5 linked regions of the Sus scrofa genome follow. The protein of the gene in region 3 purifies or fractionates together with the protein of the main gene of each other region. This does not show direct contact. Links are inferred from orthologs where the notes say so. Each region holds a gene or a part of one and is shown on either strand. Other genes may lie near its edges.

Evidence for each region.
Region 1: the proteins of OTUD5 (region 3) and SLC7A11 purify together in Homo sapiens (affinity purification with western blotting; 3 studies listed by BioGRID, with this or other methods). This does not show direct contact. The link is inferred for Sus scrofa from reciprocal best matches to the Homo sapiens genes OTUD5 and SLC7A11.
Region 2: the proteins of OTUD5 (region 3) and ZGPAT purify together in Homo sapiens (affinity purification with mass spectrometry; 3 studies listed by BioGRID, with this or other methods). This does not show direct contact. The link is inferred for Sus scrofa from reciprocal best matches to the Homo sapiens genes OTUD5 and ZGPAT.
Region 4: the proteins of OTUD5 (region 3) and MAGED1 purify together in Homo sapiens (affinity purification with mass spectrometry, with the first as the bait; 3 studies listed by BioGRID). This does not show direct contact. The link is inferred for Sus scrofa from reciprocal best matches to the Homo sapiens genes OTUD5 and MAGED1.
Region 5: the proteins of OTUD5 (region 3) and SERBP1 purify together in Homo sapiens (affinity purification with mass spectrometry, with the first as the bait; 3 studies listed by BioGRID). This does not show direct contact. The link is inferred for Sus scrofa from reciprocal best matches to the Homo sapiens genes OTUD5 and SERBP1.

The regions. Positions count from the first base shown.
Region 1 is NC_010450.4:88,606,091-88,611,849, forward strand, and holds the start of SLC7A11 (cystine/glutamate transporter), read left to right. Parts: upstream 1-1,992; 5' UTR 1,993-2,361; coding exon 2,362-2,638; intron 2,639-5,759. UniProt on the Homo sapiens protein: Heterodimer with SLC3A2, that functions as an antiporter by mediating the exchange of extracellular anionic L-cystine and intracellular L-glutamate across the cellular plasma membrane.
Region 2 is NC_010459.5:62,638,916-62,644,754, reverse strand, and holds the start of ZGPAT (zinc finger CCCH-type with G patch domain-containing protein), read right to left. Parts: upstream 3,768-5,839; 5' UTR 3,672-3,767; intron 3,456-3,671; coding exon of another isoform or gene 3,373-3,455; intron 3,203-3,372; coding exon of another isoform or gene 3,115-3,202; exon of another isoform or gene 3,028-3,114; intron 2,861-3,027; coding exon of another isoform or gene 2,768-2,860; exon of another isoform or gene 2,729-2,767; intron 2,672-2,728; exon of another isoform or gene 2,450-2,671; intron 2,416-2,449; exon of another isoform or gene 2,270-2,415; intron 2,189-2,269; exon of another isoform or gene 2,050-2,188; intron 1,764-2,049; 5' UTR 1,677-1,763; coding exon 1,093-1,676; intron 1-1,092. Other genes in the region: ARFRP1 (ADP-ribosylation factor-related protein 1), read left to right, coding at 2,768-2,860, 3,115-3,202, 3,373-3,455, 5,771-5,839. UniProt on the Homo sapiens protein: Transcription repressor that specifically binds the 5'-GGAG[GA]A[GA]A-3' consensus sequence. Represses transcription by recruiting the chromatin multiprotein complex NuRD to target promoters.
Region 3 is NC_010461.5:43,026,038-43,032,139, reverse strand, and holds the start of OTUD5 (OTU domain-containing protein 5), read left to right. Parts: upstream 1-2,682; 5' UTR 2,683-3,443; coding exon 3,444-4,037; intron 4,038-6,102. UniProt on the Homo sapiens protein: Deubiquitinating enzyme that functions as a negative regulator of the innate immune system. Has peptidase activity towards 'Lys-48'- and 'Lys-63'-linked polyubiquitin chains. Can also cleave 'Lys-11'-linked ubiquitin chains (in vitro).
Region 4 is NC_010461.5:45,320,300-45,326,305, forward strand, and holds the start of MAGED1 (melanoma-associated antigen D1), read left to right. Parts: upstream 1-2,239; 5' UTR 2,240-2,371; intron 2,372-2,910; 5' UTR 2,911-2,939; coding exon 2,940-2,984; intron 2,985-3,685; coding exon 3,686-4,411; intron 4,412-5,064; coding exon 5,065-5,733; intron 5,734-5,842; coding exon 5,843-5,906; coding exon of another isoform or gene 5,907-6,006. UniProt on the Homo sapiens protein: Involved in the apoptotic response after nerve growth factor (NGF) binding in neuronal cells. Inhibits cell cycle progression, and facilitates NGFR-mediated apoptosis. May act as a regulator of the function of DLX family members.
Region 5 is NC_010448.4:145,184,379-145,190,471, forward strand, and holds the start of SERBP1 (plasminogen activator inhibitor 1 RNA-binding protein), read left to right. Parts: upstream 1-2,326; 5' UTR 2,327-2,454; coding exon 2,455-2,767; intron 2,768-6,093. UniProt on the Homo sapiens protein: Ribosome-binding protein that promotes ribosome hibernation, a process during which ribosomes are stabilized in an inactive state and preserved from proteasomal degradation.

The DNA.
Region 1 (5,759 bases), on a different chromosome or scaffold from region 3:
TTTTTTGAAAGACATACAGCTGGGAAAAAGTATTTATTTTGGCTTTTTAAAAACCCTACTTGGTATACCCAAAGCAAATTATGTAGGGTTTAGGTAGATAATACAAAAAGGAAATAAGGTAGCCTCTGTTATTTGATGATAGAGTATTGATGTGGATAATTTCCTCAGGTGCTGACATAGCATTAAATGGTCTGAGCTTGTCCATTTAACAGCTAGTGGCTGTTTCTTTCTTGTATCATTCTGACTCCCCTCCACATCCCCCCCTTCCCACATGCAAGTTTTCTGTCGTTTTTGCTCAGATGTTCAGAAGCGTATTTAAAAGTGTTTGTAAATGTAGCTTTAGGGCAATGATAACATATAATTCTTCTCATTGAATCCAGAACCACCTCTGCCAAACATTTTATCTAGGATTTTTTTTCTTTTAGTATTTGTCTTATGGACATTTGATTAAGAAAGGCAATAAAACATTAAAGTGTTTGCCTTTCTGGGAATTCCCATCATGGCTCAGTGGAAACAAATCTGACTAGCATCCATGAGGATACAGGTTCATTCCCTGGCCTCACCTGTGGGTTAAGGATCTGGTGTTGCTGTAAGCTGTTGTGTAGGTTGCAGATGTGGTTGGCATCCAGCATTGCTGTGACTGTGCTGTAGGCCAGCAGCTGTAGCTCCAATTAGACCCCTAGCCTGGGAACCTCCATATGCCTTGGGTGCAGCCCTTAAAAGACAGAAAAATAATTTGCCTTTTTTACTGTCTCAAACTAAATGTTTTAACCTTAGCTTATATTTCTAATTCATTTTATTTTTTTTTTATTTTTTATTTTTTTTTGGTCTTTTGTTGTTGTTGTTGTTGTTGCTATTTCTTGGGCCGCTCCCACGGCATATGGAGGTTCCCAGGCTAGGGGTTGAATCAGAGCTGTAGCCACCGGCCAACGCCAGAGCCACAGCCACACGGGATCCGAGCCGAGTCTGCAACCTACACCACAGCTCACGGCAATGCAATGCCGGATCGTTAACCCACTGAGCAAGGGCAGGGACCGAACACGCAACCTCATGGTTCCTAGTCGGATTCATTAACCACTGCGCCACGACGGGAACTCCTCTAATTCATTTTAAATTTAAAGTCACAATATAACAATTCACACTCTAGAATGAAATTCTACATATTGTTAATATTTTCCTCAATTTTAGTCTGTGTATCCTTTCAAGCCTTTGTTTTGTGTATGTTTTTATGTCATTGTAAATATTGCTTAATTTGAAGGGTTTTTTTTTAATAATTTGATGGAACAACATGCAAAATGAAGAGTACATATCTTTTACTTAGTTTAGGAGATCACCTACTGCTAAGGAGAATCAGAAAATGACTATTTTCTGGAGTCACTGTAATTTTCATAGTAGTCACACTCAGATGGTGATTTTAAGTATTGGTATATTATAGTAGTAAGAAATAATTTTTATCTTAAATGTTAAAGCTCCCAATTGTTCTGTGCAAGACGGCAGCTATACAGAATCATTCCAGCTTTGTAAATATTAGATTGACTGTGTTGCTAGGAAACCCAAAATAAAAAAAATTAACCAGGAAGCAGGATGAAATCTAAATTTTGTGGTTATAAACAGTGCAGCTTTGGGTAATGTTCTGTGATCAAAACAGTTTTGTGGAAACTGTTTTTTATGTAAGGTAAAGAAAAAAGAAGCTTCTTAACGACGCAGGGATCATTTCCTGTTTCATTTTTCATTTTCTTTTCGAGTGAAGAGCTTTTGTCCCTCACTAGGAGAAGGTCTGTTCCGAATTTACTACTCCTGAATTGGTTAGGATCCCTTTTAAGTGTGTGCTTTGTCCTCCGAAAGCAACTTGCTGCTAGTGGTTTTTTTTTTTTTTTTTTTTTTTTTTTTTTTTTTTTTTTTAAAAAAAAAAAAAGCTGAGTAATGCTGGAGCCTTCTCATGTGGCTGATGCAAACCTGGAGAATTTGCATCATCATCCAGCCGGAGTAAGTTTGTGTGACAGGCAGGAGCTTAAATACCAGCCCACGAGGAAGCTGAGCTGGTCTGTAATGATAGGGCGGCAGCAGCAGCAGAGGCAGCAGCAGAGGTAGTCGGGGAGGTGGAGGAACCAGAACACCATGACCGAACACACAGGTGTTTCTCAGGAGTAATTAGATTTCTGAAGGCAAAAATATACCTGAGCATTTTTACCTGTGAGCCCAGTAACAACTGAGAAGGAATCTGAAAGCAAAGAGGAAGAGAACCATCGGTCAAGAAACACCAACAGGCACCAAAGTTGAAAGTTTAGGGGGTTTATTTTTATTTATTTATTTATTTTGTACTTTTTTGCTACTTCCTTTTCTCCCCTGCGGGTGACTACAATGGTCAGAAAGCCTGTGGTGTCCACCATCTCCAATGGAGGTTACCTGCAGGGGAATGTTCACAGGAGGCTGCCCTCCCTGGGCGGCAGGGAGCCACCTGGGCAGGAGAAAGTTGTGCTGAAGAAGAAAATCACTCTGTTGAGAGGAATCTCCATCATCATCGGGACCATCATCGGAGCAGGGATCTTCATCTCTCCTAAGGGCGTGCTCCAGAACACAGGCAGCGTGGGCTTGTCCCTGGTCGTCTGGACCGTATGCGGGGTCCTGTCACTGTTTGGTGAGTGCAGCTGCTTCCCTGGGGTGTGTCTGGGGAGCGCAGCAGTTTCCTCTCCGGGAGAGCAGAGGTTCATTTCTACGGAGGAGTGAATGAATGGCACAGGCCACTCCAGATTTTCTGATTTGGGGAGGAGGTATGCAAACTATTCAAACACAGTGTCCACTGTTGGCAGACTCCTGAATTCCTTGAAATTGCTTCTTGTAGGCTGTGTTCGCTTTTCCACAGACTATTTTTCTGACTTTCCTCTGTGGCAATGAACATTAAGGCTAACTTTGATGACCCAGTAAAATACCTGTGAGCTTTCTGTACCGAGTAGTACTTGTGCTCAGTTAGTGTGTCTGGGACATCTTGGCAGCTGGCAGTCCAGATGAAACACCTGTGAAGTGAAACCTGGTGTGGCCTATTTAGCACGGAACTGAGTGTTCAACAGAAGTTTTACTCACTTTTTATTGGCAAAACAAATGGGTGGAAATCTTTTCCATTTTAATGTTTTAACTTCATGTGTTTGTTAGTTCCTAGTATTCTTTAAAAAGTCCTTGATGTGAAAGTGACGGCACATAATTCATTCCCTATCATAAGTGGGAAAATTGCAAGGGTCCGAGCATCTTTTATTCTTTCAACCTTTTATCTCTCTCCAGTACCTATAAACTTTTGCAGTAAAAATTATACAATTGGAATTGGTTGTTGGTTTGCTGTGTTTGCACAGACTCTCTTTTCTTCATTGCCAGTTCACTTGGTCTCCAGAGGCCAATTTATCCACCTGTCTGCTGAGTTAGTCTGAACAGAACTGGTAGAAGTATGATTATTATTTTTCTTCAAAATCTAGATCTCTTCTATTGATTTAATGATTAATAGGAAAGAGTTAATAAATGACCCCTAATGAGGTGGGCAAATTATTAGAAAGACACCTCAGTTTGTTGTAAAGGTGGCAAAAACTGGTGGATGGTCAAGAGAATGAAATTTTTACTTACGCTATGGAAAAAGTGTATAAGACATTTGTGCTCTTCTCTGGCAAATACTGTGTTTTGATGCCCAAAGGACTTATTATTTTTTAAAATCTTTTTATTTATTAAAAATATTTTTGTAATTGTTATTTCCCCAATACAATTTTTTTTTCTACTGTACAGCATGGTGACCCAGTTACACATACATGTATACTTTCTATTTTCTCACATTATCATGCTCCAAAGGATTTATTTTTAAAGGTACTAACACTATTACTAAGTACAAACTCTCAGTCCTACACATAACAATCCACTTATTCTTAAGGCCTTGTAATGTTTTAATGCATTAGTTTGAATATTCATCTAAAGAACTCAAACTTCCATTATTGGGAAGAATATATTTTAGATAAAATTTGTTAAAACAAAACTTTTAGCATGGAAAGATCTGCAGAGGACTTATTTTTAGGTGTTTGCCAAGAGTTTGTGGTATTCATATGGAGTGGCATGTATATTTATAGACACAGAGAAACCTAATTGTTTACCTTCTTAAATGACTTTGTGTACCCTAGGGCTTTCTTAATCTTCTACAACACTTGGTATATTCAGCCTATATCAATTACTAGTTGGCAAAACCATCACCAGTTTCCATGACTTTGCATACTATGTGTGGTAACTCCCACTATGTGATTCCATTTTTGTACCCAACAAAATGTTATTATGATAGAATAAAATGAGTGGCTCTCAGCATTAAACTGATTAAAGTAATGTTGATTTCAACTGTGAGAATATGCTTTTGCCTCAAGAAGTTCAGGGGGAAAAAATGCTAAAGAAACTAGCTAAACTTACACATGGGTTAGTAATTTGTGATTACTAATTGCAGGGAGTATGCTTCTGTACTAATCTACATTTGTATTGCATTTGTCACTCAAGCCACCAGGAGCCTTTGACAGGAGTGTTTTCTTAACAGGAAGCAAAGCAAATAGAAGGAAAAAAAAATCCTTGGTCTTAAAGCTCTAGAACTCTGGGAGTAAGAGTAAAGAATTTGGTTTATAATTTTTTAAAGCCAGGGTCAATACATGGATCCTTACATTCTGTTTTGAACTTTTTTCATATGGGTAAAAATGGTTATTTGGGGCTTGAGATTTTTACATGAAAATTTCATTTCTCCAGGAACTAAATTTAAACCTGGGACAACCATTCTAGAATTTCAGAAAAGCACACATAGGTCTAGGTATTGATTCTCTGGCGATAAGTTCTGAGATACATAGGACACTTTCCCGTAACATTTCATATTAGGTGCTCTTTTGTATAGCCTGCCAACATGGCAGCTGGTTTCCAAATACAGTAAATTGCAACTTGTTAAAATGAGTTATAAACTAGACAAACTGTATCGGTGATCTGCAAATATCAATCTGTAGGCTAGTTACTCTAGAATTAGCTGTGCAAATTTTAAAATATTGGACCTACTTGGATGCCTCTACTGGAGACTCTGGTCTCTCTTGGTTAGAGAGTAGTTCTGGGATATGGCCTTAGCATTTGTTCTTATTTTAAATAAAAGTCCTCCCAGGTGATTCAGATACAGTACTAGTTTTAAGAATAGGATAAATAACAGTAAGATTTTGTGGAATATCCAAAATATATTAATGTTGGACTGTTCTACCTGAAGCTTTACTGATTAGTAATAATTTGCCACACTTTTAGTCTCCAAAGTAGCTAAGGCAGAAATTAGGTCTTACATTTAAGTACTTAGCAGTATGGATAGAACTTTTCACATAACATCAAGATATATTTTCCATTTTCTTTATAATTGCTCACATCAATACGTATTGCTATATTTCATGAGGTGTTTTCTGTGTGTCAGGCCCAGGTACTGTCCTTGGCACATATTTTCATATTTATACATACAAACCTCTAATGAGGTAATAATTATGATCTTTAATTTTATAGATGATGAACCTGAGGTTTTGGGAGGTTATGTAACTTGCTCAAGTCCATGTGAATTTTATTGCTAAATGTTAATATTTGATCTGTAGTTAATTTTACCTAATGTACATTAATGTTATAGCTCTTCTTTTTAAAGAGGTTTTTATGTTATTTCAACCACCCAGAGTATATTCTTCAAAAACATCCAGGAAAAACTTTCCTAAAAGTAGAATATCTGAGTTAAAATTCATTTT
Region 2 (5,839 bases), on a different chromosome or scaffold from region 3:
GCTTCGAGGACAAAGGAAAAGGGGGAAGCGTGCCGAATGCCTCTGGGCCCAGAAGGAAGCCACGAAGACATAAGAGAACCGAACGACTAGAGAGAGTCACGCGGGACTCTCGGCCACAAGAGGAAATTGCCTTGTAGCCATCTCCGTGACTCCTTTGCAAGGATGAAGTGAAGCGTCAGGTTAAAAGTTTCACGCTTAAAGAAACGACAACATAGCCACAGCGACTGAGGAGACTGGGGTGTGAAAACGTTATTGTCTTAAGCTTGGTAGGCGTGACAATGACACTTTCTTACGTCCTTAGAAGGCCTTCAGCAGTGAGATGAGTGCATCCTGAAGAACACGGACATGAAAACCCCGGTAAGTTCCACAATTTGCTTTTTTTTTTTTTTTTTTTTTTTTGTCTTTTTGCCTTTTCTAGGGCCGCTCCCCGCAGCATATGGAGGTTCCCAGGCTAGGGGTCGAATCGGAGCTGTAGCCACCAGCCTACGCCAGAGCCACAGCAACGGGGGATCCGAGGCGCGTCTGTGACCTACACCACAGCTCACGGCAACGCCAGATCCTAAACCCAGTGAGCAAGGCCAGGGATCGAACCTGCAGCCTCATGCTTCCTAGTCGGATTCGTTAACCACTGCGCCACGACGGAACTCCTCTACAATCTGCTTTAAAAGTCTAGGAACAGGTGAAACAAGATTGGCAAAATACTGACAGTCCACAAAACCCCAGAAGTGGGGGGGTGGACGGTTGTTCTACCTCCTTCAATGTCCTGGATGCTTGACAATTCCCATAACATAAACAATCTTCAGAAGTCTCCCTTTGAAGAATAAAAACTAGTGCCGGGGGGGGGGGGGGGGGGGGCCCCATTCTTTTCATCATCCGCACCTCCTGATGTACCCCGAAAATCCGAGCAAACAGCTGGAGGAGAGCATCTGCTGCAAGAACCCCCTGGCCCCCAAAGAGCTCTTCTTCTCAGCACCCTGCTGGGCGACGAAGGACAAAACTCCAAAACACAGCGGGCCAACCCCAACCCTGAGCGCAAGCCCCCCACCCCAGAGGCCGCAACCCCAGAGGCCGCAGGGGGAGGCAAGGCTTTACCTGCAGTTCTCCTGGAAACGGCACTTCCCCTCCAGGAAGAAGGGGCAGGGCTTCAGGGACTTGTGAGTGGGATACAGATAGAGCACTCTCACGCCCGGGGCGCCGTCCTCCGCCTGCTCTGTGCCCACGATCATGGCGTTGTGATACTCCAGGGTGCCCCACGGGCTGTAGTAGGGGGCGTTCACCTTCCTCCCACTCAGCTCGGCCGCGTCTTCCTCGTCCTCCCCCTCTTCCTCCTCTCCAGGCTCCGAGGGGTCTGGCCCTGCCTCGTCCTTAGGAACAGTCTCCAATTCGGCCCGGGGCGCTGCTGGCACCTCCACCACCTCGGCGATGGCCTTCTGGAAAGCCACGTACTCCGCATCTTCCGGGGCTGGGTGCTCTCCGTCCAGCGTGGCCAGCAGCTTGCTCTTCCTGACGGACACCAGGCTGGCCTCTGTGAGCTCGATCAGCTCCTTCAGGTCCCCCTGCAGCTGGCGCAGGTCCGCCAGCTCCGAGGGATCCAGGCCGGCGCCCAGGGCCAGTTCCACCTGCCGCAACTGCGCGTCATAAGTCCGGAGGGCGGCCTGCAGGCTCTCCTCGTCCATCCTGCCAGGAGGGGCTGGTTGTTCGGCCAGGCCGCGGGGTTGGGGTGGGTGTTCTGGGTCCTCCCAGGGGAGGCGTGGGGGCCACAGCTGCGGGGAAGAGAAGCCAAATGAGCCTGGGACGGGCCACCGCTGCGAGGCTGGCCCTGGGCGGACAGCCCGCGGAACCGTGAGCTGCCCCCCTCCCGTCTGGGCCAAGAGAGGTTTCCAGCTCCGATCCGGCGAGCCAGAGCCGGCTCTCGGCCTTGGCCCCACAGCCGCAGCTCCCTTCTCAGGCGCCCCGGGGCGCTGCCGTAGGCTCTTCCGAGGTCTCCGCGCCTCAGCCGGGTGCCCCGGCCCACGCCCCGCGCACCCCCGCCCCGGCTCAGCCCGTCACCTCGCCACGCCCCAGACCCTCTCGCTCCGGCCGGGCCCTCCTCCGCACGGTCTCCCGGCCGCCGCCACAGACGGCCCGGCGGCCTCGGCGGCCCCAGCGGCCCCGCGCCCCGCTTCCGCCCTCGCAGCCGACAGGCACTTCCGCCCTCGCGCCGCCACCGCCGGAAGTGCTTGGCGCGGGGGCCGCCGGGACGGTTCCGCCCCTCCCCGAGTGGCCGGCCCGCGTCCCGTCGGGCGTCGCGCGGGGTCACCGCGGGGTCGGCGCGGGGTCGGAGGGTCAGGCGCCGCAGCTCCGGTGCCCTGGCGGCTCCCCCACTCCGGCGTCTCCCCGGCTTCGCGGCCCGGGCGAGCGGGCGGGCGGGCGCAGGTAGGCCGGGGCGGGCGGGCGGAGCCGCACGGCCACTCGGGGCCGCCGCCCGCCCCCACGCGCCCTCCTCTGAGGGGCGCCTGCGGCCGTCTTGGCCCAGGGCCGTCGAGGAGACCTGGGCGGAGCGAAGCCCGGAGGGAGGCCGGACGTGGGAGCGAGGGTGCCGGCAGCGCCGGCCGGGTCGGGAGCAGCTGCGGAGGCGCCGGCGGCAGTGCCGGGCAGAGAGGAGGCGGGTCGGCAGGGCCCGGGGCTCCAGGTCTGAGCGGACAGCAGGCCGACAGACCCTTCTGCCGCTCGGGGAGGCGGGGTGCGGGTCGGATCGCCGGTGACCGATCGCTGGTCTCCGCGCAGGATGTACACGCTGCTGTCCGGCCTGTATAAGTACATGTTTCAAAAGGACGAGTACTGCATCCTGATCCTGGGTCTGGACAATGCCGGGAAAACGGTACGTGCCGTCAGCGCCCCGCGCCCCCCGCCCCGAACGTGGTACTTTTGGTATCACGCATTTAGCTGCGTGTTGTCCAAAGATCCCAGCCCCCTCTAAGACCGGGGGACGGCTGGCACCGGCTGCCTTGATAGCAAAACGGTGTGCTGTTTTGCTTTGTCTTAAAGGAATAGGCCCAAGGAGGGAAACTTGAGAAACAGGCCGGAAAACCATTCCAGCTCCTCTCTCCTGCCTCTCTCTCCCTCTCCCCGCAGACCTTCTTGGAGCAGTCAAAAACCCGCTTCAACAAGAACTACAAGGGGATGAGTCTGTCCAAAATCACCACCACCGTGGGTCTAAACAGTAAGGGGGTTTCTTGAGGGCTGCGGGCTTGGCGGGCAGACCCCTGAGGGTGCTGTGATGGCCACAGGCCTGCAGGCAGGCAGAGCACCAGAGAGCCCCTCCCCAGGAGGGCTGGGAGGTGGGGTGTCAGGGACCAAGGCCACAGCCTCTCCTGTTTTCTTCTCGCCCAGTCGGCACAGTGGACGTGGGCAAGGCTCGCCTCATGTTCTGGGACCTAGGGGGGCAGGAAGAGCTGCAGTCTTTGTGGGACAAGGTAAGAGGGGGGTGGCCACACAGGCTCCCGGCCTGCCTCTCGCACCGTCCCTCCCGGGCCACCTTGGTCTCTCCCTGCCTTTCCTGGGCTCACCTTCTCTCCTTGCGGTCAGCAGCTTGGCTCCTGAGCCGCCCTGTGCTGTCCCAGTGCCCAGGGCGCTGTCCCAAGAACAGGGACATGCTGGGTTCCAGGCTTAGCGATGTTATGGCTACTCACCACAGGACGAAACAGAGGATGGCCGAGGGGCAGACGTGGGGAAGACACAGCGCCAGTGTGGTGCTCGGCCTCAGCGCCGGGGCCTGAGTTGCCATGTGTTCCGGCTCAGGACCTGTGCTCCCGCAGGGGACGTGTCCTCCAAGGCCCACAGCAGCCACCTCCGCTTTTGATGGAGGTCTGAGTCCTTCCTCCGACCTCCACATGGGGCTCTCCTCCCCACACAGCCCAAGGCCAAGTCAGTGGGTCCAGCAGAGAGGACAGAATGGGCCTCTTCCCTCAGCCCCGCCCAGGGGACGCCCACCCAGGGTGTGGCGCAGCCCAGTGCTGGGGCGCAGACGCGCCCATCCCAACACTGGCTGGTGGCCGGGTGCTCAGGACCTGATTTCTGGTTTGACGCTCGCAGCAGGTGCCCAGTCACTTTTTCCTCGTCCCCCAAAGGTGTCCTCCCTAGCCTGCCTTCCATCCAAGTGGGCGGTTTCTGTCTCGTGGTCAGAACGTCACTGACAGGTCCTCTGAGGCCATTTAAGTGGGACAAAGGCAGAGTCAAGCCAGGGGCTGTTTGTTCAAGTCCTCGACCCACATGGGAGCAAAACTGGTCCTGAAGTTCCGTCACAGGCTGGAGTCTCCGGAGCAGAGGCTACCTTGGGGATTGGGGTGCAGGATATCCTGGGGATCAGCACCAGGGGGCGCTGGGGACTCGGGACTGGGCACGGCAGGGGCGTCTCGGGCAGCTGCCCCACGTCAGGCCACGCTGGCCAGGACTCCATTCCCTTGGCAGGTCCCCACAGTGGGCCACCCTGGGCAGCTGTGACAGGGTAAGGTGCATCAGAGTGGGTCCTGCAGGAGGTAACACGGGCCACGCACTGGGTGCAGTGCCCGCCATCAGGCAGTGAAGCCACAGCCCGTGGCAGGTGCACACTCCTTTCGCTCCTCCGCCTTGGGGGTGGCTTCTGCCAAGGAGAAGCTGGCTTGGTGGCTGGTTGTGACCCCCTTCTGTCCACTTCTTTTGGCCCGGTGGCCTCATCACGAGGGGCTGAGCCCTGATCGTCGAGCCTGCCGTCTCTGGTGGACCCTGAGTTTCTCATATGCTCCCCAACTTCTGAGTGCAGTGGGTGCCCTGCCTGCTGCCAGCAACAAGGTGTGGTCGCCCCTGGCCATGGATGGGGCTGCCTGACATGCCTGGGAGGCAGTGGGGGGGTTGCCACTTGGCTGGTGAGCGGGGGGCCACGGGGTGACCACACACCAGCCCCCACTGAGTCTCTGGGAGGGTGGAAAGCTGGGCTTCTGCTCCCACCCTGGCTCCCAGATGTAGTGTCCTGGGGCCTGCCCTGTCCCCACGCTGCCCAGCACCACTGCACCAGCATCATGTCGGGTGGCCGATTGTTCCCCTCTGGCAGATGGCTGGCGACCTTCACCCCCACCTGCTGCCCTCCGCTCACGCTGTGTGCTGCTGCCCACATGGCAGCTTGTCTTGCACTGGACGGGGGCCTGTGGGGCGGGGGGGGGGTGTCCAGATCCCTGGCTTTCCAGCTGGGACAGAGCAGCCAAGAAGCAGTCAGGCTTCAGGGCGTTTCTGTGCCCCTATCTCACTGGGGTGGAAGGCAGACTTGCCCGGCGCCTGCTCTGTGTGTCTTTCCTGCCGGGGTGCTGCCATTCACCCCCCCACACCCTGGGCCCTGGGGCTGGGGGCTGTCAGAAGGCCCAGGGCCGACCACCCTCCCAGTGCTAGTCCAGCCCGGAGCTCGCTGACGCCGGCACTGCTGTCCCACACAGGGGACACGGCTGCTTTAATGGGCTAGACTTGCCCCTCGGCGGCCTTCCTGTGGCTTTTCTGTGGCTTGCCAGTGGCACACCCGTCAGGCTTGCCGCCCCTACTGGCACAAGGGACCCTGCTCCTGCACTCCCACCCCAGGCCTGCACTGAGAGCTCCTCCCTCCGGGGCCGCTGTCAGGCCAGCGGTGGCAGGCGGGTCTCAGGAAGGGCCTTAAAGTGGACTTTCCAGCGCCACCCAAGGCTCTGGGGCCGCACCTCCTCTGTGCCCCACCCCCGGGGCAGCGGCCTGGTGCCCGCGGCTCAGCACCCTGTCTGCTCCTGCCCAGTACTACGCGGAGTGCCACGGCGTCATCTATGTCATCGACTCCACGGACGAGGAGAGGCTGTGCGAGTCC
Region 3 (6,102 bases):
GGCAAGGAGATCCTGAGACATGCCCCATGGACATAATCTGCTCCAGCCCCTTCACTCACAGATGGAAAAACTGAGACCCAAAGCAGCACACGCTTGGTGAGAGCAGACTTAAATCCACGCTTCCTGAGGAGTTCCTGTTGTGGCGCAGTGATTAAGGAATCCGACGAGGAACCATGAAGTTGCAGGTTCGATCCCTGGCCTTGCTCAGTGGGTTAAGGATCCGGCGTTGCCGTGAGCTGTGGTGTAGGTCACAAACGTGGCTTGGACCCTGCGTTGCTGTGGCTCTGGTGTAGGCCAGAGGCTACAGCTCCGATTTGACCCCTAGCCTGGGAACCCCCATATGCTGTGGGAAGTGGCCCTAGGAAAGGCCAAAAGAGAAAAAAAACAACAACAACAACAAAAAAAAAACCCACCCACGCTTCCTGAAAACAGCTCTGAATTGAACCCTGACGAAAAGCAATCTCTCAGTTTGGCGAATTCCTCTTCCTTGTGGATGTCCCCTACCTATATTCTCTCTTCTGGGCTACTGGATACAGTAGGCTAGTGTAACAGCTCTGTGGAGCACCAAGAAGACAGACCTTGGATTCAGGTTGACCTGGGTTCTGGTCCCCGGGTGAGAGAATCACTTACCTTGCCTCAGGTTGCTAATCTGTGAAATAATCTTCATTTATTCATCAAATATGTATTAACTGCATATCATGTGCCAGCTGTAGGGGTACAAAAATGGGCAAAGTAGACATCATCTCCGATCTACAGAGGTGAGCATGGAAGGCAATTAAGCCATTATAACATAACGTAGTAGAACCAAAGTTGATGGATTATAGGAGCAGGCAGATGGCAAGAGAACCAAACCTGGCCAAACAATAAGTTGGAGTTAGCCAGGCAAAAGACAAGAGTGAAAACATTTTAGGCAGAGGGAACAGTATGTGCAATGGCCTGGAGGTTAGAGTTCAAGCTCAGGGCCTTTGGAGAACTGAAGTGGCTTAGCACACCTGGTGAGGAGAGTGTGAGGTCGTGATGAGGGTGAGGATATAGAGATAGGGCAGATCACAAGAGGCCTTTGAAGCTGTGATACAGATTCGGACTTCATCTTAACCATAATGGGGCTCTGAAGGCTTAGAAACAGGAAAGTCATCATGAGGTTTGTGATTCAGAAGGATGATTCTGGCTGTGGGGAGTGGGGTATAGAGAACCAGTCCTGGAGGGAGGAAGAACAGTGAGGAGATTTTTGCAGTAGTGCAATTGGCAGGTGATGGTGGCTTAGACCGGGAAGTGGCAGTAAGAGTTGGAAAGTCAAAAGATTTCAGAGATAGAAGTGGCAAGACTTGGGATCAACAGGTATGTGGAAGTTGAGGAAGAAGGAGCAGTTGACTTCCAAGTTCCCTGGCTTGGGCAAAGGCTGGGTGTCATTCATTCACTGTCAGTGGGAACATCAAAGCTGTTGCACACATAATGACAGGCACATAGCAACTACTTGGTAAAGGCTACCTACAATTATTATTGTAAGTTCAGATCCAGATGTGTAATGCTGGACAAATATCCAGCAGGGAGTGGGATATAGGGTTGAGTGAGACGGTCACGAGAAGAATCAGTATGATAATGTGCGCAGGCATTTTGCACAGTTCCCTAAACACCATAAGCCCATTAAGTCTCATGAGCTGAAAACACCACCAAAAAAAAAAAAAAGAAAGAAAGAAAAAGAAAACACAGCTCTATTCTGTTTATTACTGCCACCCTTCAGTAAGAACTTCAACTAGGGTTGGCATCTGAAGGGAGAAAATTAGGTGGCACTCAGAAGAGCTTGTATTGCTTGGTTCCTAAGATTGGCAGGGAACCCTCACCTCTCCCGACACCTTCGTGGTTCGTGAGCTCATCTGAATTCTCCAACTGCACCCTGAGGTAGTTTGGGCAGGCATTATCATTCTTGTTTCACACAGAGGTAACAAGAGGTAAAATTTACACAATGACTTGCTCAAGGTCAGACAGTTGGTAATGGTTCGCCCATGCCTGGAACAGAGGTCGTCCTGACTCCAAAGCCTGAGATCCTTTCCTTTGCACTGACATGCAGAATAATTAATTGAGCACTTACTGTGTCCTAGGCACAGCGGGAGGCCCTTTGTAAGCATTAATCTCTGAGGCGTAAATTGGAATGATCATGGCCATTTTATAGAGAAGTGGAAATTGAGGATTGGGTGGGTTTTAAATGGCTTGCCAGAGATCACTCAGGAGTGGCAGAGCCAGGATTAGCTTTTAGTTCTCCATCCGTGCAGTAGCAGGAATTTTACCAACCTCATTGTGAAACGCTGGTTGGTGACGGAGCTGGTTTATAAACTTCGCTCGATTCAGGTACACTCAGTTTGGGGGTGCGGGGGGAGGAGAAGAAAAAAAGAGGTGTGGGGGGGTGGAGAGGAAAAGGCTTTGCCGCGCCTGCGCACTAGCCACAGGGGCGGGGAGGTCAACGCGAGGGCGAGAGTGCGGCTGTGCCAGAGAGGGCGTGTCTGCTTTCCAAACACCCCCTGTCCCCACGGTTCAGTCTGTCCCAAGGTTGGCCCGTCCGACGTGAGTGACGATATCTCTTAACCAATCACCGCAGAACTAGGCTTGTTGCCAGGGTGAAGCGGCGCCCGCCTCCTCACCGGATGTGGATTTGCAGGTGGGTGGAACCGGAACTGACGCTTCAGGGTCTAGCTAAGCTCTGGGAGTGTTGATATTTTCCTGTCAGTCCGGCTGACTGCAGCCAAGTTGGAAGCCTGGAAGGGAGGCGATTTTAAAACTGTCGTGTGCGGGGCAGGCCACGCTGTCCAGTTGCAGTACCCCCGCTTGCGAGTCAGAGCCTCGGGGAGAGAAGAGCAGGACGGGGACGACGAGAGGAAAGGCAAGGAACGAGGGTGCCGACTTTGACTGAAATCTGAGACGGAGGGCAGGGGAGGGCGATTATTCGCTTCTGATTGGCCCGTGGGCATCACCGAGGACCCACGCAGCCGCTTCGATTGGTTGGTACCCGCAATTGTTGTGGCGGCGGTGAAGATTTTGCCCACGTACTTCCGAGAGAGAGGCGGGGCTGTGCCCCGGCGCGCGTGCGCAACGCCCCGGGCCCCACCCGGTAGTTCAAGAACCTGCGAGGGGGCGGGGCGAAGAGGTGCTTGTTTTGGTTCTGTTTCCTTTGAAGCCGAAGGCCGGAACGAGCGTAGCAATAATCTTGCTGGACTTGGGGAGAAGGCTACGACAGGCTCGCACCGGTGCCTTCATCTTGGACTTCACATCCGGGTTCTCCAGCCGCGTGACCTGCGCGCCGCCGACGGTTCGAGAACCGGTGCCGCGATCTCTTTATCCGGGTCCCGGCGATCCCGTCGTGCTTCGCGCACCACTGTAGCCCCCTCATCCGGGTCCTCTCCCAGCGTGCCCCGCGCCGGGTTTGCTGGGGGGTACTCGGCAGTGCCGCCATGACTATTCTCCCCAAAAAGAAGCCGCCGCCTCCCGACGCCGACCCAGCCAACGAGCCGCCGCCGCCCGGGCCGCTGCCCCCGGCGCCGCGGCGCGGCGGGGGTGTAGGCGTGGGCGGCGGTGGCACGGGCGTGGGTGGTGGCGACCGCGACCGTGACTCGGGCGTCGTGGGGCCCCGTCCCCGAGCTTCGCCACCGCCTCAGGGCCCGCTCCCGGGGCCACCAGGTGCACTCCACCGCTGGGCGCTGGCCGTGCCGCCCGGCGCCGTGGCGGGACCCCGGCCACAGCAGGCCTCTCCTCCTCCTTGCGGGGGTCCCGGCGGTCCCGGCGGCGGTCCTGGTGACGCGTTGGGTGCAGCGGCAGCGGGGGTGGGCGCGGCGGGCGTGGTGGTGGGTGTGGGCGGCACCGTGGGCGTGGGCGGCTGCTGCTCCGGGCCGGGCCACAGCAAGAGGCGGCGTCAAGCCCCCGGGGTTGGCGCGGTCGGCGGGGGCAGCCCTGAGCGCGAGGAGGTCGGCGCAGGTTACAACAGTGAGGACGAGTATGAAGCGGCTGCAGCGCGCATCGAGGCCATGGACCCCGCCACCGTTGAGCAGGTATGGGCAGGAAGGGGGGTGACAGGTGAGTGGGTGTGGTGGATGGAATCCCCAGACAGGGTAAAGACCCAAGGAAGGCTGTTTTGAGATGGAGCCTGTGTCTTCTCTCTGAACCTGGCAGTCTTTTCTCTGGTGGTGGCGGGGGCGTGAGACGCTCTTCTCCCACCCTCACGCCCACCCCACCAAGGATTTGGGGTTAGAGGCCCCAGATAAGATGGAGGCTTTGAAGATGGGCTCTGTGGTCTTTTCTAGAACGCGTAGTTGTCATTCCAGGCCCTGGAATCTCATCGTTTAGGGCCAATAGGTAGGAACTCCCCAGGAGAGACAGGCAGGATGGAATGCCTCTGGAGAATGGAATCTCATGACTCTCCAAAGGATCTTGGTCTGTGTTCGGTGGCTTGAGGTTTCTTTTCCTCCGGGGTAAGAGTCTAAGATTCTCTCTCCGCAGAATATAAATAAGGGTTATTTGTGAAGTAAGTCTTGTGAGAAGGACCTTCCACTTCCACTTGTGAAGTAAGTCCTGTGAGTAGCTCGTTCTCCTTGGGAACACGGGTATGGTGGGATTCTGAGGGAGAATCTGACCTTCCTCCCAGGGGCCTGAGCTTCCCCGCAGGGAGGGGCTAGAGCTCCCCGCTTGGGCGTGAGGCTCCCCCTGCCCCCAACCAGGTAATCCTTTCTCACCAGGGAGAGGGAGGTGAGATCTTCCCCAGTGGGGCCTGAGGTCTTCCCCCCCTTGAATAGAAGGGTCTGGGTGCTTTTTACAATCATAAGAAGCCCCGAGGCTAGGAAGTTTTCCTTACTTTCTGTGAGAAGTTTGTCAGGTGCTGGGGATGTGAGTCCCGAGGCCTCCCCTCGAGCACTGGATGTTCTGAGTCTCTCCTTGAGCCAGCTGTCCTGCTTATTTCCAGGATCAGGGAAATATTCTGAGCTTCCTGAATTGCTTTTAGCAAGCTTTTTCCTTCCCAGAGACAGGGAAGGGGTTTGGGACATCCCCACTGCAAGCAAATTCTGCAGCCACATTCCTCTCCCCCTTGGCTCAGGTAAATCTCTCTGTGCTTCACAGGGGCCAGGGCCTTGTCTTGAGCCCCTGTCCTTGTTCCCTTTCCACCCATTACTACTACTCTAGGCAGGGTAAATTATCTGCCAGGGTCAGGGCTAGGAGTTGTTTCTTCTCTCCCTGGTTGCAGTAAAGTGTGCCTTTTCTTCTCCACAGAAATAGGGAGTCCTGGGCACGGAGAAGTCATGTGCTGCCATGGTGACTAGTAGAAAGACACCTCCTTACCTCCCCTTTGCATCTCCTAGGCTAGAATTCCCTCCCTTGTGATTGTCCCTATAAGAACATGGAACTAAAGCTCTGTGATGGCATGATATCTTTCCAATGACAGAGGAGAGGCTTCCTGTCCTCCCACATCTTGGGACAAAAGGAGGAAGAAGATGCTTTTTCTTGCCTTACCTGGTTCAGCATGGGGATGAAAAGAGAGGAGATTCTTCCTGCTGCCTCAGGCTTGATTCTGAACTGTCACTGGGGGCAGTTTGTAACCTGGAGATCAATCAGATCCTTTGGGAAAGAGGGGCGTTGTTGAGAGGGAGCCCAGATGGTGAATCTGGTCCTTGTTGTGACTGCTCAGACTTCCCGTCTGTCCTGATGCTGTGACTGTATTTCTGTTGCCTTTAGGAGCCCTTTTGGCACCCTGGGGTCTCCGTACTAGGAAGGTGTTGTCAGGGGTTTCATTTCCCAGGTATGGCTGCCTTGCCAAGAGTCTCCCATATGAAGAAAAGGACTTGAAAGTATCCTGAGCTTAAGGGCCCCACGGAACATTTTGAGAAGGGGGCCTGCATGCTGAGGTGGTGGGAGAAGTTGGACCTGGCACTGTAGCCAGAGTGCTTGGATTCCCACTCTGGCTCTGCTGGGGCTTTGCTGGTTGAATCACAATCATTCTGCCTTTGGTCCCTGGGCCTCAGTTTCCTCATTGGTCAGTTAAGGAGTTGGCGAGGTATTCTTTAACTTTGGGATTTTTAGGGAACTCATGCCACAGCCCTTTGGGCCTGAAGGTGAGAGAAAACG
Region 4 (6,006 bases), about 2.3 Mb from region 3:
GTGTAATGAGGAAAAGTAAGTGATTCATCACAGGAAAGAAAAAAGAATGCTTCTCAGGTTTCTTGCTTAATCAACAGGGTAGATGGCAGGATTCATTCATTCATTAAGCAAATATTTTTGAGCATGTAAAATATGCCATGCATTATTTTATGTACTAGGAATACAGCAATGAATAAAACAAACAAAAATCCGTCTCCATAAATGGCTTTTATTCTAATGGAGAGAGAAGGGTATGACTAAAAGAGAAACACACAAGGTTGGTAAGGAGGAGGATATACAAAAGAATCAGTTCGGGACATGTTAATTGGAAAATTCAGAAACATATCCAATTGCAGAACTGAGGTAGGCAGCAGAATTACAGATCTAGAATTCAGTAAGCCAGGTCAAGACTGGAGATAGATATGGTAGCAGAAAGCATATAAAATGGTGTTTCAGATCTCCTTTCCTGAGTCTGATCACGTCCCACTGCAGACACTTTACAGAGGAAGTGCTGAGGAAAAACAGGCAGCTGACAGGGGAGGTTGCTATGCAACAGATGAGGAAAGTCATCCAGCCAGGCAGAATTGATGTTGGCCCTTGGGGACCAAATGCTGCAGTTCCTCCTAGCATTAGCTTCCTTTTCATATGTTGGCTCCTGGCAGGAACTGATGCCAGAACAAATGTGAAATATACAAAGATCTTGGATTTTGGGAAAATATCAGTTCAGTTTGAGTCATCTCACATCTGTATATTATTTTCTGCCTTTTTGAGTCTCTCTAGTCATTCTGAAAGCAAGCAGCATGTGTGTTGTTGGGTAGGATCCCAGTAATTGCCCTTTGCACTTTATGGTTTGCATATTGAACAAACCTGGCTCAGAAAAGTCCAGTGACCTGAGCAGGCTCACACAGCTAGTAGACACTGGCTCACCCTCCATCCCACGAATTGAAGCCCAGCCCAGGAAGGGACCAGGGCAAACATTCTGAATCCGGGCTTGCCATGGCTCAGAATTGCAAGTGCCTGATTGTCTTGGCCACTCCAGCGGGCACCAGAAAGGCCTCAGGGGTAGGGCGTTTGTGCCTCTCACAATGAAGGGGCCTGACGGCCGGAGCAGGGAGTGGACCCCAATGAGCAATTCCCATATCTGGATGGACCCACAGAGCAGGAGGGCGGGGAGTGGGAGGGGGCGGGGCGGAGGAAGAGCTGGGACCTCTATCTGTTTCCTCCTAAATTGAGAGCATGAGCTTAAGTCTCAGGGAACACTAACCTTGTCTGTTTGGGACAGATGTTGACAGGGCAGGAGGTGGGATAGATCTGTTGCTTAAACTGATAAAAGGAGGGTGCTTCAGTCCCTGGGCCAGCGCCGGTGGATCGTGGGTTTTAGGGTCTGGAAGACCCAGGACAGGACCACATTTTGCTTTCTCTGTTTACTGGCTTTGTGGCTTTGTCTAGTTCATGCAATATGTTTGTACCTCAGCGTCTTTATCTGTAAAATGGAGATGCTGACATCCACCTCCCAGGGCTGCTGTAAGAAGAAAACAAGCCCCAGCATAGATCGTGCTGTGAAGTACAAACTGTGCCCTTCCCTCCCCTCCTCCCCACCTCCCCACCTTCCCACCTCCACACACAAAATAAATAGCTGGAGCTGCACAAAGGGCAGGAAAGAAGCTAATGTTTATGAGTCTGGGATCTGTTGAGGAGGGGGGTGGAAATCATGGAGTCACGTGGCAGGCACAGACTCTACCTCTAATAATGTATCCTCTGGCCGTTCCTTTTCCTGGGTCCCTAAGTGGATGTGCTTATTTTTAGCCCGAGCCAAACACTTGTAGCAGTTAGAGCCCCCCTACAGAGACCTCCTTAATAGTGACCTAAGTGCTGCTAGACTAGGGGGTGGAGATGCATGCCGACCTGACAGGAGGGGCCGTGCGAGGGGAGGGATAGAACAGAGACGCATTGCGGAAAAGGTAGGGGGCCAGTGTGTGGGGCAAGGGGTGGGATCTAGAGGCACTGCGAATCTGTTTGGGGGAGGGGATATAGAGAAAGGGGAGGGATCGCTGTATACTGTCGACCTGGTTGGTGGTGGGGTGGTGTGTTGGCAAAGGGGCGGGATTGCCTCCCACTGCACATGCGCACCTTAGTCTTCAGGACGAAGCTTTTGTTGGGAAAGCAGGCGGGACTCTTATTTGGTCGGTCAGTTCTTGCGCATGCGTACAACCATCTGAGGCGGTGGGTGGTATATTAGGCGAAGAGGCGGGGTCGTCCTAGCTGCCGCGCTGGCATTTTCTCCTGGACAAGGAGAGGGTGCGGCTGCTGAGAGCCGAGCACTGCAATCCCGATCCTCTGAGTCGTGAAGAAGGGAGGCAACGAGGGGGTTGGGGTTGGGGCCTGAGGCAAGGTGAGAATTAGCCCCCAGACAGGGCATCTGCCCCCTGGTGCGGGCCCCCCATTTTTCATCCCAATCCCTTTACCCCGGATTCTGATCCTTCTTCCACTCCCCGAACCCTAATTCACACCCCTCACCCGATCCTCCCTTATTCAGAATCCCTGTTTGCTCTCTGAGCCCCTCCCATCGTTCAGAATTTACAGATTTCTCGACCTCAATCTGTACTGTTATATGATTCCTCCTGATTCGGAAACTCCATTCAGTTTCCCATATGCGAATCCCAGTGCTATCCGCCTGGATTCAGAACTCTTAAATCGGTTTTCCAAACCCCGATTTGAAGCTTCTCCCCGTCGTAGCTTCTAGGGATTCAGAACATCCATCCGGACACCCATTCACTTTTCCCACTCCGATCTGGCCCGTTCCCCTCACATTCAGCACCTCATCCGCCCCCACAATCAAACCTCAAACACCACCGTCTCCCCACATTCATTCCTTCCCATTTACCCTCTGTAGTGTAACGCCTAACTCCTCCCCCACACCCCCCTCCCCAGGCTCTGCTCTTGCCAGAGGGACAAGAACCATGGCTCAGAAAATGGACTGTGGTGCGGGCCTCCTCGGCTTCCAGGTGAGATCTCCACTCCCCACCCCACCATTTCCCCAGCCGACAGTTTCCCCCTTCCCGGGCCCCTTTGGCTATCCAAACGCCTGGATCAGATTGTGCCTTCTTGGTGCCTGGATTCCTTCATTTTTCAAATTCCCATGGTTTATGGGGGAGGGGGCGTCCCTTTCAGCCATCAGTCCCTGCTCAGAGAAAGGGGAGACCCTGTTAGTAGTCAGGGCAATCTGCCCAGAGAATGCGGGTTGGGTAAGGAACCATTTTTTTCCATAGTCCTGATGCTTGTAGAGCTCTTTGCCGCCCCCTCCCCCAGCCTCCTCCACCCTCCCTTCCTCCTGCATTCCCCACCCCTTGCGACCCCCTTATTCTCCTCAACTCCTCCAGGCGGCACTCTTGCTCCACCTCCTCCTGCTCCTGAGCTCCTACCTCACACTGCAATGTTCTGCTCTAACCTCACTCCCAGATCAGCACCTGCCTTCCACTTTGCCCCCCTCACCTCATCGCCGCCCGCCCCATGTTTAACCTCTGCCCCACTCAGCCCCTCTCACACGTTCTGTTATCACTTCATTCCTCTCAGGCCTCTAGATCTCTGCCTCAGCCTTCCTCTCTTTGCACCAGCCGCCCCCCCTGCACCTCCTCTGAGCTACTCCCCCGCTCCCAACCCCACTTTGTGAGGCCCAGAGATTTATTTTTTCCCCTTGTATTTGCAGGCTGAGGCCTCTGTAGAAGACAGCACCTTGCTTATGCAGACCCTGATGGAGGCCATCCAGATCTCGGAGGCTCCACCTACCAACCAGGCCACAGCAGCTGCCAGTGGGCCAAATGCTAGTCCTCAGAGTTCACAGCCCCCATCTGCCAATGAGGTGGCTGATATTCAGGCTTTAGCAGCTGCCACTAAGCCTAAGACAGCCTTTAAGGCCCAGAATGCCACCACAAAAGGCCCAAATGCTGCCTATGATTTCTCTCAGGCTCTTAATGCCAAGGAGATTCCCAGCACACCACCTACGGTAGCCTTTAAGGCCCCAAATGCCCCCTCAAAGGGCCCAAATGCTGCCTATGATTTTTCCCAGGCAGCAACCACCAGTGAGTTAACTGCCAAACCTGAGATGGCCTTTAAGGCCCAGAATGCCACTACGAAGGTGGGCCCAAATGCCACTTACAATTTCTCTCCATCTCTCAATGCCAATGAGATGGTCAACACTCAGCCTAAGACAGCCTTCAAGGCTTGGAATGATACCACTAAAGCCCCAACAGCTGAAACCCAGACCCAGAATATTAACCAGGCCAAGATGGCCACTTCCCAGGCTGACATAGAGGCTGACCCAGGACCAGGTATCTGTGAATCTGATGGTGCAGCTGCACAGACATCAGCAGATGGCTCCCAGGCTCAGAATCTGGAATCCAGGACTATAATTCGGGGCAAGAGGACCCGAAAGGTGAGATCCCTGCTAGTTCCACTTTGCTTTGGGCCTCTCCTTTCTTCTGTGAGGTTGTTCATTTGTTCTAAAACAAAACAATATATAGCTGCCTGTATTCAGCTAGGTTGTAGGGGATGATAAGATGTATGTGATAATTCCTGTCCTCTGAGTGTCCACGGACTAATGGGGAGATGAGACATGGACATGTAATATATCCAGTCTGCATGTAATTCCTTGTGTATTTTGATAGTAGCCATCATGTGTTAGGTCTTGGCCTAGGCACATTCACACAGGTTATCTCACGCACTAAATCTTCAAGATGCTTCATACCGGCTGGGGTCATAGTTTCAGTTTTACAGGGAAGGAAACTAGTTTCCAGAGAGGTGAAGTGACTTGAGTGATTTGTCCAGGGTGGTACAAGCAGAGCCAGTGGTGAACATAGGAAGAGGAGAAGCTTCAGGCCCCACCCTTGGGTTGCTCCTGGCCTGGTTCAGAGATGAAACTCCTGCCTGGAAGACAGTGAAAGACAAGCCCAGGACTCAGGGTGACCATTGGCTAGTGGGTCAGGCTGTCACTACAGGTGAGGGTTTTAGGGGGCCTTCCTGGAATAGATAGGGCAAGGACATAGAAACAGTTGGTGACTCTGACCTTCCTTCTCTTTGATGATGCAGATTAATAACTTGAATGTGGAAGAGAGCAGCAGTGGGGATCAGAGGCGGGCCCCACTGGCTCCAGGGACCTGGAGGTCTGCACCCGTTCCAATTACCACTCAGAGCCCACCTGGCGCACCTCCCAATGTTCTCTGGCAGACCCCATTGGCCTGGCAGAACCCATCAGGCTGGCAAAATCAGCCAGCCAGGCAGACCCCACCAGCACGACAGAGCCCCCCAGCTAGGCAGACCCCACCAGCCTGGCAAAACCCAGTTGCTTGGCAGAACCCAGTGATCTGGCCAAACCCAGTGATCTGGCAGAATCCTGTGATCTGGCCAAACCCCATTGTCTGGCCTGGTCCAGTTGTCTGGCCGAACCCACTGGCCTGGCAAAATCCACCTGGATGGCAGACCCCACCTGGATGGCAGACTCCACCAGGCTGGCAGGGTCCTCCAGATTGGCAAGGCCCTCCTGACTGGCCACTGCCCCCCGACTGGCCACTGCCACCTGATTGGCCACTTCCCACTGACTGGCCGCTCCCACCTGACTGGATTCCCACTGATTGGCCAGTTCCACCTGACTGGCAGAACCTGCGCCCCTCACCGAACCTGCGCCCCTCTCCCAACTCGCGTGCCTCACAGAACCTGGGTGCCTCACAGCCCCGAGATGTGGCCCTTCTTCAGGAAAGAGTAAGAATTGTAACTGCAGTCACTTTCCCTCTCCCTCTTGCTCTTTTCCCTCTTGTCAAGTGGCCTGTAAATCGCTTATAACTTTAATGCTTTCTTTTTTCCTTCTCAGGCGAACAAGTTGGTCAAGTACCTGATGCTTAAAGATTACACAAAGGTGCCCATCAAGCGCTCAGGTGGGCATCCAGTGCCCTCTCCCAGAGCTCTGCCCTGTGTGGCCATTTCTTTGCTCATGTCCCTTCCCCTTCAGTCCCCTCCTTCTGCAATTGAGTCTTC
Region 5 (6,093 bases), on a different chromosome or scaffold from region 3:
ATTTGTATACTTTGAAAATGGGCTTTAAGGAGCTCCCTGGTGGCTCAGTGGGTTAAGGATCCAGCATTGTCACTGCTGTGGCTTGGGTTGCTGCTGTGACTTGGGTTTCGTTCATGGCCTGGGAACTTCCACATGCCAAGGGTGTAGCCAAAAAAGAGGGGGGGGGGAGCTTTAAAATGTTCTAGGCTTCACCAAAATTCTAGGAGAGATGAAAGGGAGAAAAGGAAGTTGGAAGTGTTTACAAGTTTTTCCTGTTTTCCCTAAATGGTTATTTACATTTTTATGTTATGTTAAAGATGAATTCCCTGAGGAGCACGAGCGAACCTTAAAAATTCACAGCCATACAATTTCCCTATGTGTTGTTTAAGTATTCTTGTAGTAATGCTTGGTAATCATAAAAGTCTGTTTGAGGAAACCAGAGACCTGTACATAGGATAAAAACTAAGGATAGGCCTCCCCTCTCCCCAGACTGTGGGAGTGGGTAAGTTACTTAGCCTCTTTGCGCTTCATTATCCTCACCTTAAAAAGGCAGTAATAATACCTTTCTCATAGTTGGTGTGAGGATTAAATGAGATCACACAGGTAAAGTGCACCAAGAGTATAGTAAAATATCAAGTTTTAGCTCTTAATGTTGTTGTGGTAGTGGCCAAAAAGGGGTAAAAAGAGGAGCTGTAGCAGATGCCTCAAAGATGCAGATACTAACAACAGCCCCTGGTAAAGAGAAAGGGTTAAAGCACTACAATCTTCCAAATTGCACCTGAACTATTTTCAAAGAGGCATGATGAATATGGTCAAAAACTCCTTGTCCTTTTTCTTGGAAGGAGCCAGGGTCTCTGTGTGAGATGGAGGTGTGTGCCACAGGGAGGTGTGTGCGAGGCAAAAGAGAAATAGGTGACTTTGAGGAATGGGGGCTGGATTTGGAAATTAGAAAACCACTAGGCTTGCTGCCACAGGACTGTAATATGACTCTTTTATTTCCCATGTTAAGGAATTGACTTGAATTCCTCTCAGAAATCGATAAGATTGCATTTGGCCATGTTACATACCCTGCTTGACAAGCAACAATATTTAGATTTTATCAAATATTGGAAATGAACTGATAATTGACTGGCTTCTATCAAAAGGTAGCATTTGGATTAAAAAGGATGTCAAGCGTCTCAGAGTGGAATTAGAAGACTGGGTTAACTCCTGGCACTAGCATTTACAGAAGTGTAAACTTGGTAAATCTTTTCACCTCTGAAATGGTTTTAATTTGTGAAAAGGGAAACCTACCTAACAGGTTGTTGACATTAAGGTCATTCATAGCCTCTGAACATAGAGATGCATTTTTTTCCCCTATATTTTGCGTTACTGGAAAAAGGTTTAAAAATTATGACAACACATTTAAACTTAGTGTTACCAAATATGCTTGAATATGCATCGACACTCTATGATCTCAAAGGACTTTAATATTTTCAACTAATAATGACAGTCAATTCGCTGACATTTTCCTCCCCTCAATGCACTTTTTAGCACACCACACATTCATTCGGTTGCTCTAAAATGTTACTTCTTTGGCACATTTTACAAACACCCAATCTGTACCTTTCCGGACACTAACGGACAATCAGATTGACTCTAGAAAGTGTTTCTTCTATAAGCAACGCCTTTTCGAGGTTTGCCCAGGGTCTGGCTAGCGCCGCACTGTCGGGAGTTAACAGCAAATAAAGCACCGGTCGCAAGCGCGCAACACTCACATATAATACTTCAACTTGTCTTTTAGGTTAATTCTGCTGCTCGAGTTCAAGTCCCCGCGAGAGGAAGCGTATTCCGCTTCACATTAAGCAGAAGAGTCTCGATTCATTAATGGGGCTGCAGGAGGGAGACGCCAGCAACTGAGTAGCTGGGGCACTTGGAAGAGAGCGGCACCTCTGCAACCCCTCGAAGTTTGTTTCCATTTATAAGACTGGTAGCCACCTTGACCCTCCTAGAGAGGTGGGGAAAGTTAGCCCTGGACCGGAGGCGGGAAGTAAAACCGAAGACTGAGAACTTTCGCGAGGAAAACACGCCTTCACGTTTTCCTGTTTTCAGCGCAGCTCAAGACCCAGAGAGTTTAAGGGTGGTGAGAGCAGGTGGCAGAACTCCGCCCACCACCGCGCTTCTCCTCCCTCAGCTTGCACGCTCCACTCCCTCGGTGAGGTCCCGCCTCTGAGGCGCGCGCGAAGAGTTGTCGCGCCGTGAACTCTGGGAATCGTAGTGCTGGCTCTGGGAATCGCCACGGGAAAAGCGACTCTTGCCTACATACCCCGTGGTGCCTTGCGGCGCTGGCCGCTACCGGATGTGTGCCTGGCGCCGGAAGAGAAGACGGCCCCCCTCTCGCAGCCCGGCCATCTTGTGGGAAGAGCTGAAGCAGGCGCTCTTGGCTCGGCGCGGCCCGCTGCAATCCGTGGAGGAACGCGCCGCCGAGCCACCATCATGCCTGGGCACTTACAGGAAGGCTTCGGCTGCGTGGTCACCAACCGATTCGACCAGTTATTTGACGACGAATCGGACCCCTTCGAGGTGTTGAAGGCAGCAGAGAACAAGAAAAAAGAAGCCGGCGGGGGCGGCGTTGGGGGCCCTGGGGCCAAGAGCGCAGCTCAGGCCGCAGCGCAGACCAACTCCAACGCGGCGGGCAAACAGCTGCGTAAAGAATCCCAGAAAGACCGCAAGAACCCGCTGCCCCCCAACGTTGGCGTGGTTGACAAGAAGGAGGAGACGCAGCCGCCTGTGGCGCTTAAGAAAGAAGGTAAAGCTGTGGTGGAAGCCACGGAGACCCGGGATGGAGGGAAGGACTGAGGGGACTTGTAGCTACCACTTGCTTCTGGGGTCCGAGGGTCCACGGGAGGCTTTGCCGCCGATTTTCTCGCGTTTCCCCCACACGACAAAGCCAGGTCTTCCGAAGGTGCTGGGAGCGTGGTAGCCCCAAGTTCAAACCGCCGCCTGCAAGGATCCTGGAGCCACCCCCTTCCCGCCTCAGCCTCTGAGCGGAGGAGCGTGGTCCGGAGACGAGCTGCTGCTCGAGCGTGCTCGGGATCCTGAGAGGCTCTTGTCTTCCCGCCGGATTCCTGGGCGGGCGGGCAGGCGCATGGACCGGGGCTCGGGGAAGGGAGCTGCTTCCACGGGCATTTGTAGTTAGCGGGGCAGCAGGGACTCGGCGGCTTCTTCCTGTCGGAGCTCTCCTGCAGCCTGCTGCTTCGAGGTGCGATTGTCTCTCTTAGGCTCCTGTCCTGCCATCTTGTCCCAGGATGGCGCGAGGTACCCTGAGCAAAGCCGGGGGTCGGAGTTTCCACCAAAGCTACCCATCCTCTCGAGCCTATCGGATATCGTGGAGAAAGCTGCCTTTCTTTGTAGGTGCCGCATGTGGCTTTATTTTTCCCTCTTCGTCCCTTTAATCGTTACAAACTTAATAACTGGCTGGAAGGAGTTAAGCTGTTGGGAGGGAGAGAAATTTGGCCACTCCGGGTTGAACAGGAGCGGGAATTCCCACTGACGACCGGTGATAGCACCTGAGGCTCGTCCTGGGATTATGATCCTTTCCCCCCCGTAGGACCCCTTCCCGCAGGCGCTGTTTCATGTGGTGTGTGGCCTGGCCTGGGCCTCGTGGTGAAAGAAACGCGGAGACTGTCACAGCGTTGGCCGCCGCGGAGCCGTTTTGAGTCTGTACCTTTTCTCCCCATGTGCGTGAAGCGTGGTCAGGATTTCATTGGCGGCTAGCAGTTGCTTCCAGGTCACTGTAAATACTTCGCAGGATTGTTTTGAATTTGGTATATGCATTCTCGGTACTGGTTTGTCCTTTGCAGTGGATTAAACCCAGACATTTTGGGAAAAGCAAGTGTACGTACATGACCTATAGCAAATCGGTGTATAGGACCTAAGCGTAGAATCTTAAAGGTTTCCTTTGTGTGTTGAAAGTTGAAAATTTTCTTTAGTGCCACGTGCTTCTGAAAGGAGTTCTTACTACCTTAATTGAATTTGATAATACTCAACTAAAAAGTCCAAACAATTGTGTTATGTTTTAATTTGGAATTTTTAAAAAATATAGAGAGCTTTATGAGGTTTGGGACGAAGAACCTAGGTGGTAAATGAAAGAATTAATTGTATTAAAATTACTGGTTGGTGAGGGATGCACAAATTTGAGTATTAGAAAGCGTGTATACATTGCTCAGGCCAAATATCCATGCAGTCAACTAAGCCTTATAGCTACCTGTAGCACAATCTAATAAACCATTTAATTTCTATGTTAAGGAACATTGGCTTATGTAATTAAGCTATACTCAGTTTACCTCCTTCATCACACTAATCCAAAGAAGAGTACATGAAAAAATTGAATCAAGTGTGTTCACCCATTTTGACTGTTGAAAGCATGAAGCATGGCTAAATATCTCATGTTTTGATTATAAAGTCCATCTTTGAAATAAGCTCTTACCTGGAAACTAGTGTTTTAAATTACAGAGTTAGAAAGTTATTCTATAAATTTATAACCAAGGCTGAGTGTTCATTCAGTGGTCTATCCTTGGGAAAACTTCCATTGTTAGCTATCAGCATTTTCCTTAGGTCAGCATTTCTAACCTTAACTTGCATTAAACACTGGCTTATAAATATAGTGAAAATGGTGAATGAAAAAAATTTTGTTTTGAGATCTTACTACTTGGCAGTCAGTGTTCTGGGGTTGGGAAAGGAAAGAACTGTAAACAAAGTCTCCTTCTTGTACTGGGAAGGATTTTTATCCTGATCCTGTGTTCTCTGCCTTTGAGTAGAGGTCCTGGCACAATTCTAGACATGCCTTACATATGTGTTTAATGATTATATTTTATGAATTTCGTAGTTTGTTTTTTGCACACTTGAGGAACTTGAGAATTGACACCAAAGAATATCACTGAGTATACCAAGGTGTTTTTGTTTTTGGTTTAATATTAAAAGCCTGGAAGCTAGTAAAAAGAGAAGCTTGCATTTTAAAATATCAGTCATTGGGTGAAAAATTTTCAATTCTGTAAGCTAACCTAATGTTGAATATTGGGGTGGGGAATCAAGCCATTGTTCATTTGGGCGTGTGTGTGTTTTGGATATTATTAGGATTGGTTCCGTAGCTCCACCCCAATACACTGCTTCTGATGAAATTTATTTAAAATGCCTTGGTGTAAGAGCTAACATTTGTGGTCTGTCCTGAGAGTTTATGTGGAATGGACCTTAAAATTTCATTGAAGAGTTTGACCTCTACCATTTTACTCTTTACAAGCAGCCGGGCAATTGGGTGCATCCTGATGGTGTTACACTTTCTTAGCAAGAAGGAGAATGAGCCAGTTTAATTTCTTGTTATGAAGCCAATTCCTGAGGTGCTTTTTGATTTTGTCAGAAATCCGTGGTTTGGGAATTAGAGCATTCCTAAAATTTTACCGTCATGAATTTAACCATCAATCTACTTCTTATCCTTGAGGCCACCAGTAGTGCATATTGGTTGCCTTCTTGGCCTCTGACACTAATGGGAAAAAAATAAGGGGAATTCATCATTTAGTTTCTGTTGTTTCTTAACTATTGCTTAAAACGGCTCCGCGTGTGTGGTTTTTAAAGATTCTTTAGATACAAAGATACTTGTAAAGGCAAACTAAAAAAACCTCCCCATAATAATAAAATAACTGTTGTCATTTGTTTTCCTTTCAGTTTTATAATTTCATAGAATTATCAGTCTTTTTATTCAGCTGTTCCCCCCCCCCCCAGGTTATAGAAAATAATATGGCTTTAACTGTGGTGGGGGTGAGGGGGATGTCTTTATCTGGTGATGGCATTAATTTGCTTGATTATTTATGAATGGCTATTTGATATCTTTAAAACCAAAATGTGTCACTCGCCTTAAATAAGTTTAGAATTTTAAATTGAGACTAGTATCTTGAAAAGCAAGGGAAGTAATGGCTGTTCAGATAATTTCCAAGGCAGTTACAGAGAATAGTTTAGGAGAAAATGATTTGGCAAACTAAATGGAAGTTTAAAACAAGTATATTGTCTTTAGGAATTTTTCTAAAGTACTTTGTTACACCTCAGATGCCCACTTTCAGTCTTTTTCAACAGGAAGTTCTA